Macaca fascicularis: one gene and its partners. The protein of the gene in region 3 interacts with the protein of the main gene of each other region in a pairwise test. Links are inferred from orthologs where the notes say so. Each region holds a gene or a part of one and is shown on either strand. Other genes may lie near its edges. The genes, in order: XIAP, RIOK3 and CASP10.

Region 1 (5,146 bases), on a different chromosome or scaffold from region 3:
ACTGCAAGCTCCGCCTCCCACGTTCACGCCATTTTCCTTCCTTCAGGCTCCCTAGTAGCTGGGACTACAGGCGCCTGCCACCACGCCCAGCTAATTTTCTGTATTTTTAGTAGAGACGGGGTTTCACCATGTTAGCCAGGATGGTCTCCATCTCCTGACCTCGTGATCCGCCCGCCTCGGCCTCCCAAAGTGCTGGGATTACAGGCGTGAGCCACCGTGGCCGTCCTATGTATTTTTTTTTTTTTTTTTTTTTTTTTTTTTTTGAGACGGAGTCTCGCTCTGTAGCCCAGGCTGGAGTGCAGTGGCCGGATCTCAGCTCACTGCAAGCTCCGCCTCCCGGGTTCACGCCATTCTCCGGCCTCAGCCTCCCGAGTAGCTGGGACTACAGGCGCTGCCACCTCGCCCGGCTATTTTTTGTATTTCTTAGTAGAGACGGGGTTTCACCGTGTTATCCAGGATGGTCTCGATCTCCTGACCTCGTGATCCGCCCATCTCGGCCTCCCAAAGTGCTGGGATTACAGGCTTGAGCCACCGCGCCCGGCCGTCCTATGTATTTTTATTTATTTCTTTGTTTTGAGACGGAGTCTGGCTCTGTCACCCAGGCTGGAGTGCAGTGGTGTGCTCTCGGCACTGCAGCCTCCGCCTCCCGGGTTCCAGCGATTCTCCAGCCTCAGCCTACCAAGTAGCTGGGATTACAGGTGCACACCACCACACCCGGCTAATTTTTGTATTTTTAGTAGAGACGGGTTTTCACCATATTGGCCAGGCTGGTCTCGAATTACTGACTTCTGGTGAACCACCCGCCTCGGCCTCCCAAAGTGTTAGGATTACAGGCGTGAGCCACCGCGCCCAGCCAAAACAGTAAATTTTATGTCATGTACATTTTACCACAAGAAAAAAACAGTGCTTAAAAAAAAGCAAAAACAAAAATTAGAGAAGTGCCACTAGAGTTCAGAGCATGAAGGGATTAACTTCAGCTAAGAAAATCAGAGAAGGCTTTGTGTACGAGGATGGGGGGGCAGGCACAACGAGTAGTTCTGATTTGTTAGAAGATAGGGTAGGGTGCCCAAGGGGAGAATAAACATGCAACTAAGAGTTTTAAGAAAAGTCTTTCCTCTCCTCCCTCCCAAGTTCCCTTGTTGTGAAGGGAGGATCATATCTTGCATCACTTGATTTCATTTGAAATGAAATATTCAGAATCCATCATCTCACCACATTACCCTGTAAGATCCCATTTTCCTGAAACAAAAATTCCTATGTTGATCTGACAATCCTACAACGCATTTGAAATAAATCCAGGATTTATTTCAGCATTTTATGTACACAGACTTCCTTTGTTTCCTGTCCATCTGCTTTCTTTTTCCTCTATTAATTTTCCCTTCACCTCCCAATCTTAACCCCCGCCATTCCCCCAGGGTCTCCTTTTCTTGTCATCCCCTTCATCCTTTCCTTCTTGGAAAAAGATCCGATTCTAACCTCAGTTACCTTACTAGCCGCGTGATACTGGGATAGCTATCCCCTCTGGGTCTCAGTTTCCTTTGTAAAATGGGCTTATTAAATCCCCAGAGACAGTGCTTATCTTACAGGGTTGTCAACATTACAACAAAGACCACGTTATATGCCTAACACAGTACCTGATCTATAGTAAGAACTCAACATTTTCGCCCCTTCTCCTCCTCTTTTCCGTCCTTGTGCCTTTCTTCCCCTATTCCTCAACCCCAGGGCCCAACAGGTAAAAACCGTGGGAAAAACCATCCTTGAGGCCAAAAGAAGAAACGCAGGAGCTAGGGGCGGAGAGTACGAGGTGCTCACTGCGCATGTGCGCCCGCTAGGTCAGGTTCTGGGTTCCAGCTGGGAGGGGGGGCGGGGGGGTGGGGTTAGGGGTTGCAAGGGCCTCATTTTTTCTTACTGCCCCCTTCCGGTTCGGGAAGGTGGGGGGACCTTGGCGGTGCCCGGAGCCGGCGTGGCGCTCATCGAGGGACGCCCGGCTCAAGTGGTAAGTTGGAAAATGGCGGAGGGGGGGGAAGAAGGAGGGGCTTTGCAGGGCAGGAGGCTGACCTCCCGGCCGGGGGTGGGAAGGACACAGCCGGGGCCCAGTGGCGCAGCCCGGGCCCGGAGACTGACGGACAGCGCCTGGTGTCTCTTTGAGGCCCTGACGTGGACAAACTTCGGGTTTCACGACTCCGGGTTTCTCCAGCGGATGGGCAGACCGGTGGAGGCGCGTGAGGGAGACGAAGGGACTTCCGTTTCCTTCACCTAGGCTGGGGCCAGGCCGCAGAACGGAGTTGGCATTTCCAGATTGGGGCTCGGGCCGCGCCTCCTCCGGGACCCTCCCCTTGGACCGAGCTGATCGCCGCGGGGCAGTTCGGGCCGGCTGTCCTGGCGCGGTGGGTACAGCTTGTGTAGGCTTTCGCCTCCTCCGCTTTCCCTCCTTACCCTCTTCTCCCTCCCCTCTCTTCTTTTCCCCTCCACTCCCCTCGGGCCGGCGCTGCTGGGGAGGGCGGGAAGGCCGCGCCCGCCTGGCAGAGGTGGCCTGGCCCCGGCTGCTTGCCCGGGTTCCTCGGACTGCCGACGGCAGGCGTGGGTGAGTGGGTGGGTGACTTCAGGCCCGCGGGACTGCCTTCCTAAACCCTGTGACACCTAAGGTAAATTGAGGCAAATAACTTTTTTAAAAAATATGATCAAAGGGATTTCCTCCCCTTGTGATACCTGTGGCTTGTGTGGAGCAGGGTGGAGTGTGTCTGGAGAGGGCATATGAAACAGAAAGAATAAGGGCCAAAGAGCTTCCGGAAGAGGAAATTAGCTGGTAATTCTTTCCAATCTGCTTTCCCAGTCACCTCTCCGGCATGTTCTGTAAAACAAAATGTAATTTGATTTTGTTTCATTATTTTAACTCCATAACACTTAAATTATTTTCTTTTCGGGGAGGGGAGTGTTTATTCTCAAACTAAGCAGTAGCACTCTCCACCTCCGAAAAAGGAAAAACGTCAACCCAAGCTTTGTTAAAAAAAACCCCAACCAATCAGATTTTAATAATCTACTACTTTGCTTTCAAATATAATTATGTCGCTAGTTCTGTCACAACTATACTTTGATAGTTTAATGACTCACAGAAATTTGTAAGACTGGAGGTTTCAGTAGTGTTTCTTTTCCTTTTTTTCCCCATAATATTTATTACAGTCAATGAACAGTGTTACAGACGGCCATCTTAGAATTATAACATTTTAGAGTTGGAAGGGATCTTAGTCAAACCCTGTCCTTTTACAAAACCAGAAACAACGGCTTAGGGAGATTTCATAGCTTGCTTAAGGCTATCCAACTAGTTAAATTAGAACCCATGTTATCTGGCTTCTTGCCCATCACTTTGCACAGTTGCTCCATATCGCCTCCAAGCATGAAAATTAAATGTATTCAATTCAACACACATTTCTGAAGAGTATAATACTTTGTACCAGTGACTGTGGTACCACTTTCTATGTATTTCAATGTATTTAACATGCTTATGGAGTACTTGAGCTTCCCCCCCACCCCCACATTCAAGAAGTGGCAACAGTTTAGATTTATATACACACCTTCACATGTATGTGTGTATACTTGCATTTGCCTAGATAGTTTCTTGAAGGATACACAATAAAAATGTTAACAGTAGTTACTTATGGAGAAGAGAGGTAGAAGACTTTTTACTTTGCACTTCACATGACCTAATGTACGGTTTGAATTTGTTATAAATTTGTATTGATTTCATAATTGAAAAGTTTTAAAGTTCACACCTTCCCACACAAATATATATATCAACATAGGCAAATATATACCAATGGTACATACACATATTTATGCACATATATGTATTTATACATATCAGTGGTTTGTACTGTAAAATCCAGTATGATTCAGGTCAACTCAGCTGACAAAGCAGGCCTCTATTGGATACTCATGTTTCATTTTCTTGTATTGCTCTCTCCTAATGTAAGATAGTAAAAATAATATGTTACTAGTTGTCATATATTTTTAGAAATTGTCCTAAGCTTCTTGATTATCAAATAATGTAGCAAACTTTTAACACATTTAGAATATCAGATTTGGGTACTTGCTTCAGTGGTAGCACATATACTAAAATTGGAACAATTCAAAGAAGATTAGCATGGTGTTTTTTTGTTTGTTTGTTTGTTTTTGAGACGGAGTCTTACTCTGTCATCCAGGCTGGAGTGCAGTGGCACGATCTTGGCTCACTGCAGCCTCCGCCTCCTGGGTTCAAGTGACTCTCCTGCCTCAGGCTTCCGAGCAGCTAGGACTACAGGCACGCGCCACCATGCCCGGCTAATTTTTGTATTTTTAGTAGACACGGAGTTTCTCCATGTTGGCCAGGCTGATCTCGAACTCCTGACCTCAGGCGATGCACCGGCCTCAGCCTCCCAAAGTGCTGGGATTACAGGTGTGAGCTACCTCGCCCGGCCGGTCCCTTTTTTTGTTTGTATGTGTGTTTGTGTGAGACAGAATTTCGCTTTTGTTGTCCAGGCTGGAGTACAATGGCGCCATCTCGGCTAACTGCAACCTCCACCTCCTGGGTTCAAGTGATTCTTCTGCCTCAGCCTCCCAAGTAGCTGGGATTGCAGGTGCCCACCACCACACCCGGCTGATTTGGTCCCGTTTTAAATAAGCAACAACAACAACAAAAATTTGACACCTGACGCTGTGGCTCATGCCTGTAATCCCAGCACTTTGGGAGGCCAAGGCGGGTGGATCACCTGAGGTCAGGAGTTCCAGCCTGGCCAACATGGTGAAACCCCATCTCTACTAAAAGTAAAAAACTAGCCGGGTGTGGTGGTGTGCGTCTATAGTCCCAGCTACACAGGAGGCTGAAGCAGAAGAACTGCTTGAACCCAGGAGGCAGAGGTGGCAGGGAGCCGAGATCGCACCACTGTACTCCAGCCTCAGTGACAAGAGTGCACCTTTGTCTCAAAAAAAAAAAAAAAAAAAAAAAAGAAATTGATACAATGAAAATATCTGCAGCCTGGGCAACATGGCGCAGCCCTCTCTCTAATAAAAATACAAAAATTAGCCAGGCGTGCTGGCTTGTGCCTGTAGTCCCAGCTACTTTGGGGAGTTGAAGCAGGAGGATCACCTGAGCCTTGGGAGGTGGAGGCTG
Region 2 (4,095 bases), on a different chromosome or scaffold from region 3:
TTCAGCTTCCAGCACAATACAGTTGCTCAGTAAGTAAATGATACTGTTGTTTGATGAATGATAAAATTCTCTTTTTCCTGTTTCTGGAATGTTTTTTTTTTTTTTTTTTTTTTTTTTTTGAGACGGAGTCTCGCTCTGTTGCCCAGGCTGGAGTGCAGTGGCGCGATCTCGGCTCACTGCAAGCTCCGCCTCCCGGGTTCCCGCCATTCTCCTGCCTCAGCCTCCTGAGTAGCTGGGACTACAGGCGCCCGCCACCGCGCCCGGCTAATTTTTTGTATTTTTAGTAGAGACGGGGTTTCACTGTGGTCTCGATCTCCTGACCTTGTGATCCGCCTGCCTCGGCCTCCCAAAGTGCTGGGATTACAGGCTTGAGCCACCGCGCCCGGCCTGGAATGTTTTATAGAATACCTTTCAAACATAGATGATTCCAATTGCTAGCTGGATAATGTTAGTAAATATTGACCCTTGTAATCAAGTTAAAAAAAATACATGTATGTATGACTATCTGTGTACACTTGGACACATGCACGCGGGCGCACGCGCACACACACACACACACACACACATAGTAATTTCAACTCAAAGGCAGAATCATTAGGAATAACCTAGTTTTTAAGAGAGTAAAAGTTACTGGCTCAGCCAGGCATGGCGGCTCACTCCTGTTATTCCTGTAATCCCAGCACTTTGGGAGGCCAAGGAGGGAGGATCTCTTGAGCCCAGGAATTTGAGACCAGCCTGAGCAACATAAACTCCATTAAAAAATAAAAAAATTGGCCGGTCACGGTGGCTCACGCCTGTAATCCTAGCACTCTGAGAGGCCAAGGCGGGTGGAACACCTGAGGTCAGGAGTTCAAGACAAGCCTGGACAACATAGTGAAACCCCGTCTTTACTAAAAATACAAAAATTAGCTGGGTGTGGTGGCACATGTGTCCCAGCTACTAGGGAGGCTAAGGCAGGAGAATTGCTTGAACCCAGGAGGCGGAGGTTGCAGTGAGCCGAGATTGCACCATTGCACTCCAGCCTGGGCGACAGAGTGAGACTCCATTTCAAAAAAAGAAAAAAATTACTAGCATAATCTAAAATATGGTTTCTGTGAAAAGTAGGATTCTAACAAATGGATTCAATGTATTATTTTTGTAGATAGAAGCTTTGGAGAAAATGAATGAAGATCACGTTCAGAAGAATGGAAGGAAAGCTGCTTCTTTTTTGAAAGATGATGGAGACCCACCAGTGCTATATTATGAATAGCACTGATACCCACTGCTTCAGTGTTAACACAGCCGTGAGTGTCAGCTGCCAATAGCAAATGAAGTTGTGGGCGACTCGAAATACCAGAACACGGGGAGTGGGCAATGGTGCTTCTCTGCTTCCCCCCTTGTAACCCATGTGCCAGATGTGTGGAATCTTTAGCTCAGCATTGAGAGAATAAAATGTCACTACCTCTCATCTTATGAACAGGATAATATAATTCTTTAACAGCTATAGGTTATCTGGCTGAAGTAGACCTAATTTTACATGACTTGTGGTGTAAAATGTCTTGATGATAATTTTTAAAACTTAGGCAACATTTCCAAATATGGGAGGAAAGGACAGATGTGTTTACAAGGGAGGGTTTCATTACAACGTATTTGCTTTATTCACCTCCCTGTTTTGTGTTGCATCTTTCCTTGAATATCTTACTGGCCCAGAGTTAGCCTTTCTCAATTATGTTTCCAGACTGTGGCCGTGATTCTAAAGGAAAATGTGTGCTCTTTAATGGGTAGAACAAATGGAAATTTGGTTTCAGAATGGCTGACAGAAATAGACATAAGCCATGTAATTTTTGTTGATATATCATGAAAATGAACAGAATTCTTTTTCCATACTTATATCTAAGAAAAGGCATCATAGGTTTCTGAAAGAGATAAATATATAACAGCTTTTTAACTATCCAGTCAACTTTCAGCTTTTCTACATTTAGGTAAAATGGTTAGGATATAACTCATAGTGTGGCTAATCTACATTTATCAATAAAATGTAAATTATCTGAGAGGACAGAATATAAGATTGAACCATGTTTGACATATTTTAATTTAGTTAATGAAGCAAAATTCCGTTTACATTTCACTAAAACTGTGTACTTGATTGATTTTCAGAGAAATATCACAAATTAGAAATATTAAATCAAAGGATGAAAGGTATATATAAAACAATTTGGGGGCCAGGCGTGGTTCAAGCAATTCAAACAGGAAAATCGCTTGAACCTGGGAGGCGGAGATTGCAGTGAGCTGAGATCATGCCACTGCACTCCAGCCTGGGCGACAGAGTGAGACTCTGTCTCCAGGGAAAAAAAAAAACCAAACCCAATTTAGATACCAAATTAATCAACTAATTTGAGCTCTCTGGCCTTACTCTTAGTAGTTTTTAGTACGTGCTGGACACCACTTTGAAAAAGCAATCACTGTGCTAGAAAAGTATATTGGCTTTGTTAGGTTTGAAGTTCATTAACTTCAACGTAATCATTCCTCCTATTACTGAAGTCAGATTGGAACCACTAAAGATCCAAACCTTCTGTCTGGTAATAGAAAGTAAAAATCTAGACATCATTTACATTTGAGAAAGCTGTTTTTAACATTATTTTAAAATGCCAAATATGTTCTTTCTAGAAAAATATTTATTTTTGTTTTTGTTGGATAGCTTTTAATTGCATTTCAGAGAAGTGTGATTTTGGGTAGATGCTAATTACATTTTTGAAAGATTTACTGTTCCAAAATAAAGATTTAGATGACTGGTGATACTGGCTTTACAGAAATTTCAGAGAACTAATTTTTAAAACATTTAAAACTTTTTTTGTTTTGTTTTCTGACATATTCTGACAAAGAGCAGCAAACCACTGCTGTGTGGCATTCTTGGAGTGTGCTGTGAATGTGCTTTTTAAGAAATTAAAAAGAGATCATTTTAAAATTGGTTCTTTGTGTGGTATCTTCCTGTTCCTTATATTAACTTATGTCCTGGTACCAAGTTGCCATTTCTGTATAAAGTTAAGTGATACTGTTTTAAGTAGATTATTCCCCCTCAACCTCTCATTGTTAGATTTCAGTCTCAAATGGCCTACTTCACATTACAAATAGGTTTTCACCCCCACCCCCCTTGTAGATTACAGAGTAGATTTTTTCCCATAGTAGAAAAAGAAAGTGAAAAATACTGGTTTGCTAAGTAAATAAAAAATCAAGCCGGGCGCGGTGGCTCAAGCCTGTAATCCCAGCACTTTGGGAGGCCGAGACGGGCGGATCACGAGGTCAGGAGATCGAGACCATCCTGGCTAACACGGTGAAACCCCATCTCTACTAAAAAATACAAAAAAAAAAAAACTAGCCGGGCAAGGTGGCGGGCGCCTGTAGTCCCGGCTACTCGGGAGGCTGAGGCAGGAGAATGGCGGGAACCCGGGAGGCGGAGCTTGCAGTGAGCTGAGATCTGGCCACAGCACTCCAGCCTGGGTGACAGAGCGAGACTCCGTCTCAAAAAAAAAAAAAAAAAAAAAAAAAAATCAAATACAGGCTGGGCGTGGTGGCTCACACCTGTAATCCCAATACTTTGGGATGCTGAGGCAGGATGATCACTTGAACCTAGGAGTTTGAGATCTGCCTGAGCAGCAGAGCAGACCTCATCTCTACAGAACATTAGGTGGGTGGCACGCATCTCTGGTCCCAGCTACTGGGGAAGCTGAGGCAGGAGGATTCTTTGAGCTCAGGAGATCCAGCCTGCAGTGAGCTATGATCACACGACTACACTCCAGCCTGGGTGACAGATAAAGACTTGGTCTCAAAATAAATAAATTAATAAAATGAAAATATATAAAATACGGAAATAGGGATATTTTATCTCACATTAAGTTATCAAAATAAGGATGACTAGTTAACTTTTATTTCAATATGATAATTACCAATTTCCTTTTCATAAAAATTAGTTTTTCTTGCTTACAAAAGTAAGTCATTTATTTGAATGTAAATATTGTAGGAATTTAGAAATGTTCAAGTGAAAGTCCCTCGGCCAGGTGCAGTGGCTCAGGCCTGTAATCCCAGCACTTTGGGAGGCTGAGGTGGGCAGCTCACCTG
Region 3 (4,472 bases):
GTTATGGTGGCATGAGCCTGTAATCCCAGATACTCAGGAGGCTGAGGCAGGAGAATGGTTTGAATGGAGGTGGAGGTTGCAGTGAGCCAAGATTTTACTACTGCACTCTAGCCTGGGAGACAGAGTGAGACTCCGTCTCGGAAAAAAAAAAAAAAAAAAAAAAAAAATACTAGCCAAATTGTGATTTTTTGTTTCAGAAAATTCTTTTTCTTTTAAAATACCAAATATAAAATTCTTTCAAAACATTTTCTCCTCATTTCTTTGGTGTCCCTCTTTTGCTGGTTTCCTAATCAGTATCACTTAAAGCTGTGACTTAGAGTTCAGTGGTTAATAAAATAGACTTTGGCATCAGATTGTACCAGCTCTGCCATTAATTAGCTTTGTGACCTTGGGCAAGTTACTGGAACTTCTTTGTGCTTCAATTATTTCATCTTTAAAATGGGGAATATAATAGTATCTACTCAATCAGTTGTTGTGCTGTTAATATACAGCAAGCACTGTCCCTGTTGCATAGAGTTATATATATTTGGTATCTGGTATTAATATAGATTGTATACAGATTTGCTTGGTAACGCCTCTTCCCCTACACCCCTGAGCAACTTGAGGGCAGATCCTGTTATATCTTATTTATCAGTGCAAAACCTAGTGCCTACTGGCCATGCAGGTAACATCTGAGTGAGTGGATAATCAGTAGGCAAGTAAATGTAACTCTATTGATTCTCTTGTAGACCTCCCTGAGTTTCCTGGCACTTCTAGAGAAACAAGATAAAATAGATGAAGATAATCTGACATGCTTGGAGGACCTCTGCAAAATGGTTGTACCTAAACTTTTGAGAAACATAGAGAAATACAAAAGAGAGAAAGGTAAGTAGCTTGTGCTTGCTAACTTGGACCAGACCATGGAAATTCTTTTTTTTTTTTTTTTTTGAGACGGAGTCTCGCTCTGTCGCCCAGGTTGGAGTGCAGTGGCCGGATCTCAGCTCACTGCAAGCTCCGCCTCCCGGGTTCACGCCATTCTCCTGCTTCAGCCTCCCAAGTAGCTGGGACTACAGGTGCCCGCCACCTCGCCCGGCTAGTTTTTTGTATTTTTTAGTAGAGATGGGGTTTCATCGTGTTAGCCAGCATGGTCTCAATCTCCTGACCTTGTGATCCGCCCATCTCGGCCTCCCAAAGTGCTGGGATTACAGGCTTGAGCCACCGCGCCTGGCCCCATGGAAATTCTTAAAGCAATTGGCCATGCATGATGTTTTGTTTGTTTGTTTGTTTTGTTTTGAGGCAGAGTCTTACTCACTCTGTCTCCCAGGCTGGAGTGCAGTGGTGTGATCTTGGCTCACTGAAACCTCCACCTCCCGGGCTCAAGTGATTCTTCTGCCTCAGCCTTCCGAGTAGCTGGAATTACAGGAGCCTGCCACCATGCCTGGCTAATTTTTGTATTTTTAGTAGAGACAGGGTTTCACCATGTTGGCCAGGCTGGTCTTGAACTCCTGACCTCAAGTGATCCACCCACCTCGGCCTTTCAAAATGCTGGGATTACAGGTGTGAGCCACCGCTCCTCACCCGTGTGTGATATTTACTCATCATTCCGATAATATTCTGCTAGGAAAGCCAGAAATCTCCCCCTTTGTTCTTTCAACACATATTGGTTGAGTTCATATGTTGTACTAGGCACTGCTTTAGAAGTTGGGGGTATAGCAAAGTACAGAACAAAGCTCCTGCCCTCTTGGAACTTATATTTCAGTGCAGGGAAGTAGTTTTAGACAAATGTCTTTTTCTGATTCTAATATGGGAGTGAGAGTATAGGGAATTTTGTTTTAACCCAAATAACATGAAAAAGAAGGCAGGATAGCATGGGGTGAGAGTGGAGTCTATGGAGTCGGATGGCCAGGACTCCGCTGACTAGTGGTGCAGTGGTACTTTTTTGGCTTTTCTATGTCTCACTTTCCCCATCTGTAAAGTGGGCATAATAATAGTACCAACCTCCTAGGTTTTTGTGAGGTTTGAAGGAGATAGTTTCTGTAAAATGCATGTCTGGCGTGGAGTAAGCATTCAATACATGTGGCTACTATGACTCTCTCAGAGAGAAAAGTCAGGAAGACCTCACATTCTCAGAAACTACTATCAAAGAAGAACTTTATTTTCATGTGGGTTTCTTTTTTTTTTCAAGTCTGTCTGATAAAGATAGTTCTGCTGTGATATTTTATACAGGTAGAAGCACAGGGCAGAAGTCAAACCTGGCTGCCTCACCACGTGTCAATACGCTAAATATCTGTGTTTTTCTGAGTCAATTTCTCCACTGTTAAACAAGAGCTATACATAAAAACGCATGAGTATATTCATGAAACTTTTATGCCACACCCTTAATTTAGTTCAGTGAGTGACTCTAGTGTGCAGATTTCTTTGGTTGAAAATGAAACTAGCTAAGAGGAAACGTCTCTCTAAGAATTTGGTTAACACAGAATGAGTTGAGGAGCAAAATATACTGTTGTCAAATTGATAAAATCTCAAGCAATAAAATGATGAATAAATGCATAATTTAAGTTATGAAGAATAAAAACAGTTCTTTCTATCATCAAATTATCAAATGAGAAAGCAGAAGGTTGATATGGAAAGAACATTTCAAATCCTCACATGAGCTCTGAGTTTTTTTCTAAACACATTGTCATTTTTCTGTAATGTCATATCCCATATGAAGTAAACAAAGGGCAAGTGGTCATATTATTTTGGATACTTAAATTCTAAAGAAGACACACTAGCTTCTATGTAGTTGATTACATTTGCCTCAGTGAGTCTTGAAGACTGAAATTTGTTGTTTTATTTTTATTTTTTGAGACGGAGTCTCGCTCTGTCACCCAGTCTGGAGTGCAGTGGCGTGATCTCAGCTCACTGCAAGCTCCGCCTCCCGGGTTCACACCATTCTCCTGCCTCAGCCTCCTGAGTAGCTGGGACTACAGGCACTCGCCAACACGCCCGGCTAATTTTTGTATTTTTAGTAGAGATGGGGTTTCACCGAGTTAGCGAGGATGGTCTCAATCTCCTGACCTCGCGATCCGCCCACCTCGGCCTCCCAAAGTGCTGGGATTACACGCGTGAGCCACCGTGCCTGGCCTGAGCTTTGTTATTTTTATTTTTATTTGAGATGGAGTCTTGCTCTGTCACCCAGGCTGGAGTACAGTGGCATGATTTTGGCTCACTGAAACCTCCGCCTCCCAAGTTCAAGCGATTTTTCTGCCTCAGCCTCCTGAGTAGCTGGGATTACAGATGCCTGCCACCATGCCCAGCTAATTTTTGTATTTTTAATGGAGACAGGGTTTCACCATGTTGGCCAGGCTGGTCTTGAACTCTTGACCTCAAGTGATCTGTGCTGGAATTATAGGCGTGAGCCACTGAGCCTGGCCCAGGACTGAGCTTTATATCAGCAGAATTCTAATTTTGATTTTTCTTTTCTATAACCTACCTGTGTGTGATCTCTTTTGGGTGTCAATCATTATTGATATTTTAATATTGACTTTCTTTAGTTCTAAGAGTTTGAGCCTAGTTCTGCTGTTAAGATGAAAGTCTAAAGGACTGAAAAGAGTAGGTGTGCAGAGTTTAGACTTTCCTGTAAGTGTGTGTGATCCAAAGTCCAAGCGAGGACACTGGCTTTGTTTAAGGACCACCTGGCTAACTTTCTAAGTTATCTTGAGCCTTGGTGTTTGCTTTGGTATTTTCTTGAGACAGACTCTTACTCTCCCCAGGCTGCGGTGCAGTGGGACGGTCTTAGCTCACTGCAACCTCCCCATCCCAGGTTTAAGCAATTCTTCTCCTGCCTCAGCCTCCCGAGTAGCTGGGATTACAGGCATGCACCACCGCACCCAGTTAATTTTTGTATTTTTAGTAGAGACAAGGTTTCACCATGTTGGCCACGCTGATCTCAAACTACTGACCTCGTGATCTACCTGCCTTGGCCTCCCAAAGTCCTGAGATTACAGGCATGAGCCACCTCGCCCAGCCTAGTATTTTTAATTTATTATTAAAATAAGGTACATAATTATAATAAAATTAAATAAAAATTCAAATAATTAAAGCAACATAGAGTGTAGAAGGTAAAAGTCTTTCTCCTTTTCTTCTTTTTCTATTACTAACCCATTTCCCAAAGATAACCACTGTTTGGAATATATACTTATTGATTTCCTTCTATATAGAAACAATTGTAAGTGTACAGAGATATTACATACACACACACAGAGAGACACGTATATTTTTAACAAAGACCATGCTAATCATATTCTAAAACTTGCTTTTCCCCCCACATAATATAGCTGACTTTTTTTTTTTTGAGATGAAGTTTCGCTCTTGTTGCCCAGGCTGGAGTGCAATGGCACGATCTCGGCTCAAGCGATTCTTCTGTCTTAGCCTCCTGAGTAGCTGAGATTACAGGTGTCTCTGCCACCACGCCAAGCTAATTTTTGTATTTTTAGTAGAGACAGAGTCTT

Evidence for each region.
Region 1: the proteins of CASP10 (region 3) and XIAP interact in binary tests that used the Homo sapiens proteins (3 or more experiments, as listed by UniProt). The two-hybrid records come from large-scale screens. The link is inferred for Macaca fascicularis from reciprocal best matches to the Homo sapiens genes CASP10 and XIAP.
Region 2: the proteins of CASP10 (region 3) and RIOK3 interact in binary tests that used the Homo sapiens proteins (3 or more experiments, as listed by UniProt). The link is inferred for Macaca fascicularis from reciprocal best matches to the Homo sapiens genes CASP10 and RIOK3.

Annotation. Positions count from the first base shown.
Region 1 is NC_088395.1:130,087,062-130,092,207, forward strand, and holds the start of XIAP (E3 ubiquitin-protein ligase XIAP), read left to right. Parts: upstream 1-1,925; 5' UTR 1,926-1,996; exon of another isoform or gene 1,997-2,260; 5' UTR 2,261-2,387; exon of another isoform or gene 2,388-2,645; intron 2,646-5,146.
Region 2 is NC_088392.1:66,274,946-66,279,040, reverse strand, and holds the end of RIOK3 (serine/threonine-protein kinase RIO3), read left to right. Parts: intron 1-1,141; coding exon 1,142-1,249; 3' UTR 1,250-2,944; downstream 2,945-4,095.
Region 3 is NC_088386.1:96,960,909-96,965,380, forward strand, and holds part of CASP10 (caspase-10), read left to right. Parts: intron 1-728; coding exon 729-864; intron 865-4,472. UniProt on the Homo sapiens protein: Involved in the activation cascade of caspases responsible for apoptosis execution. Recruited to both Fas- and TNFR-1 receptors in a FADD dependent manner. May participate in the granzyme B apoptotic pathways.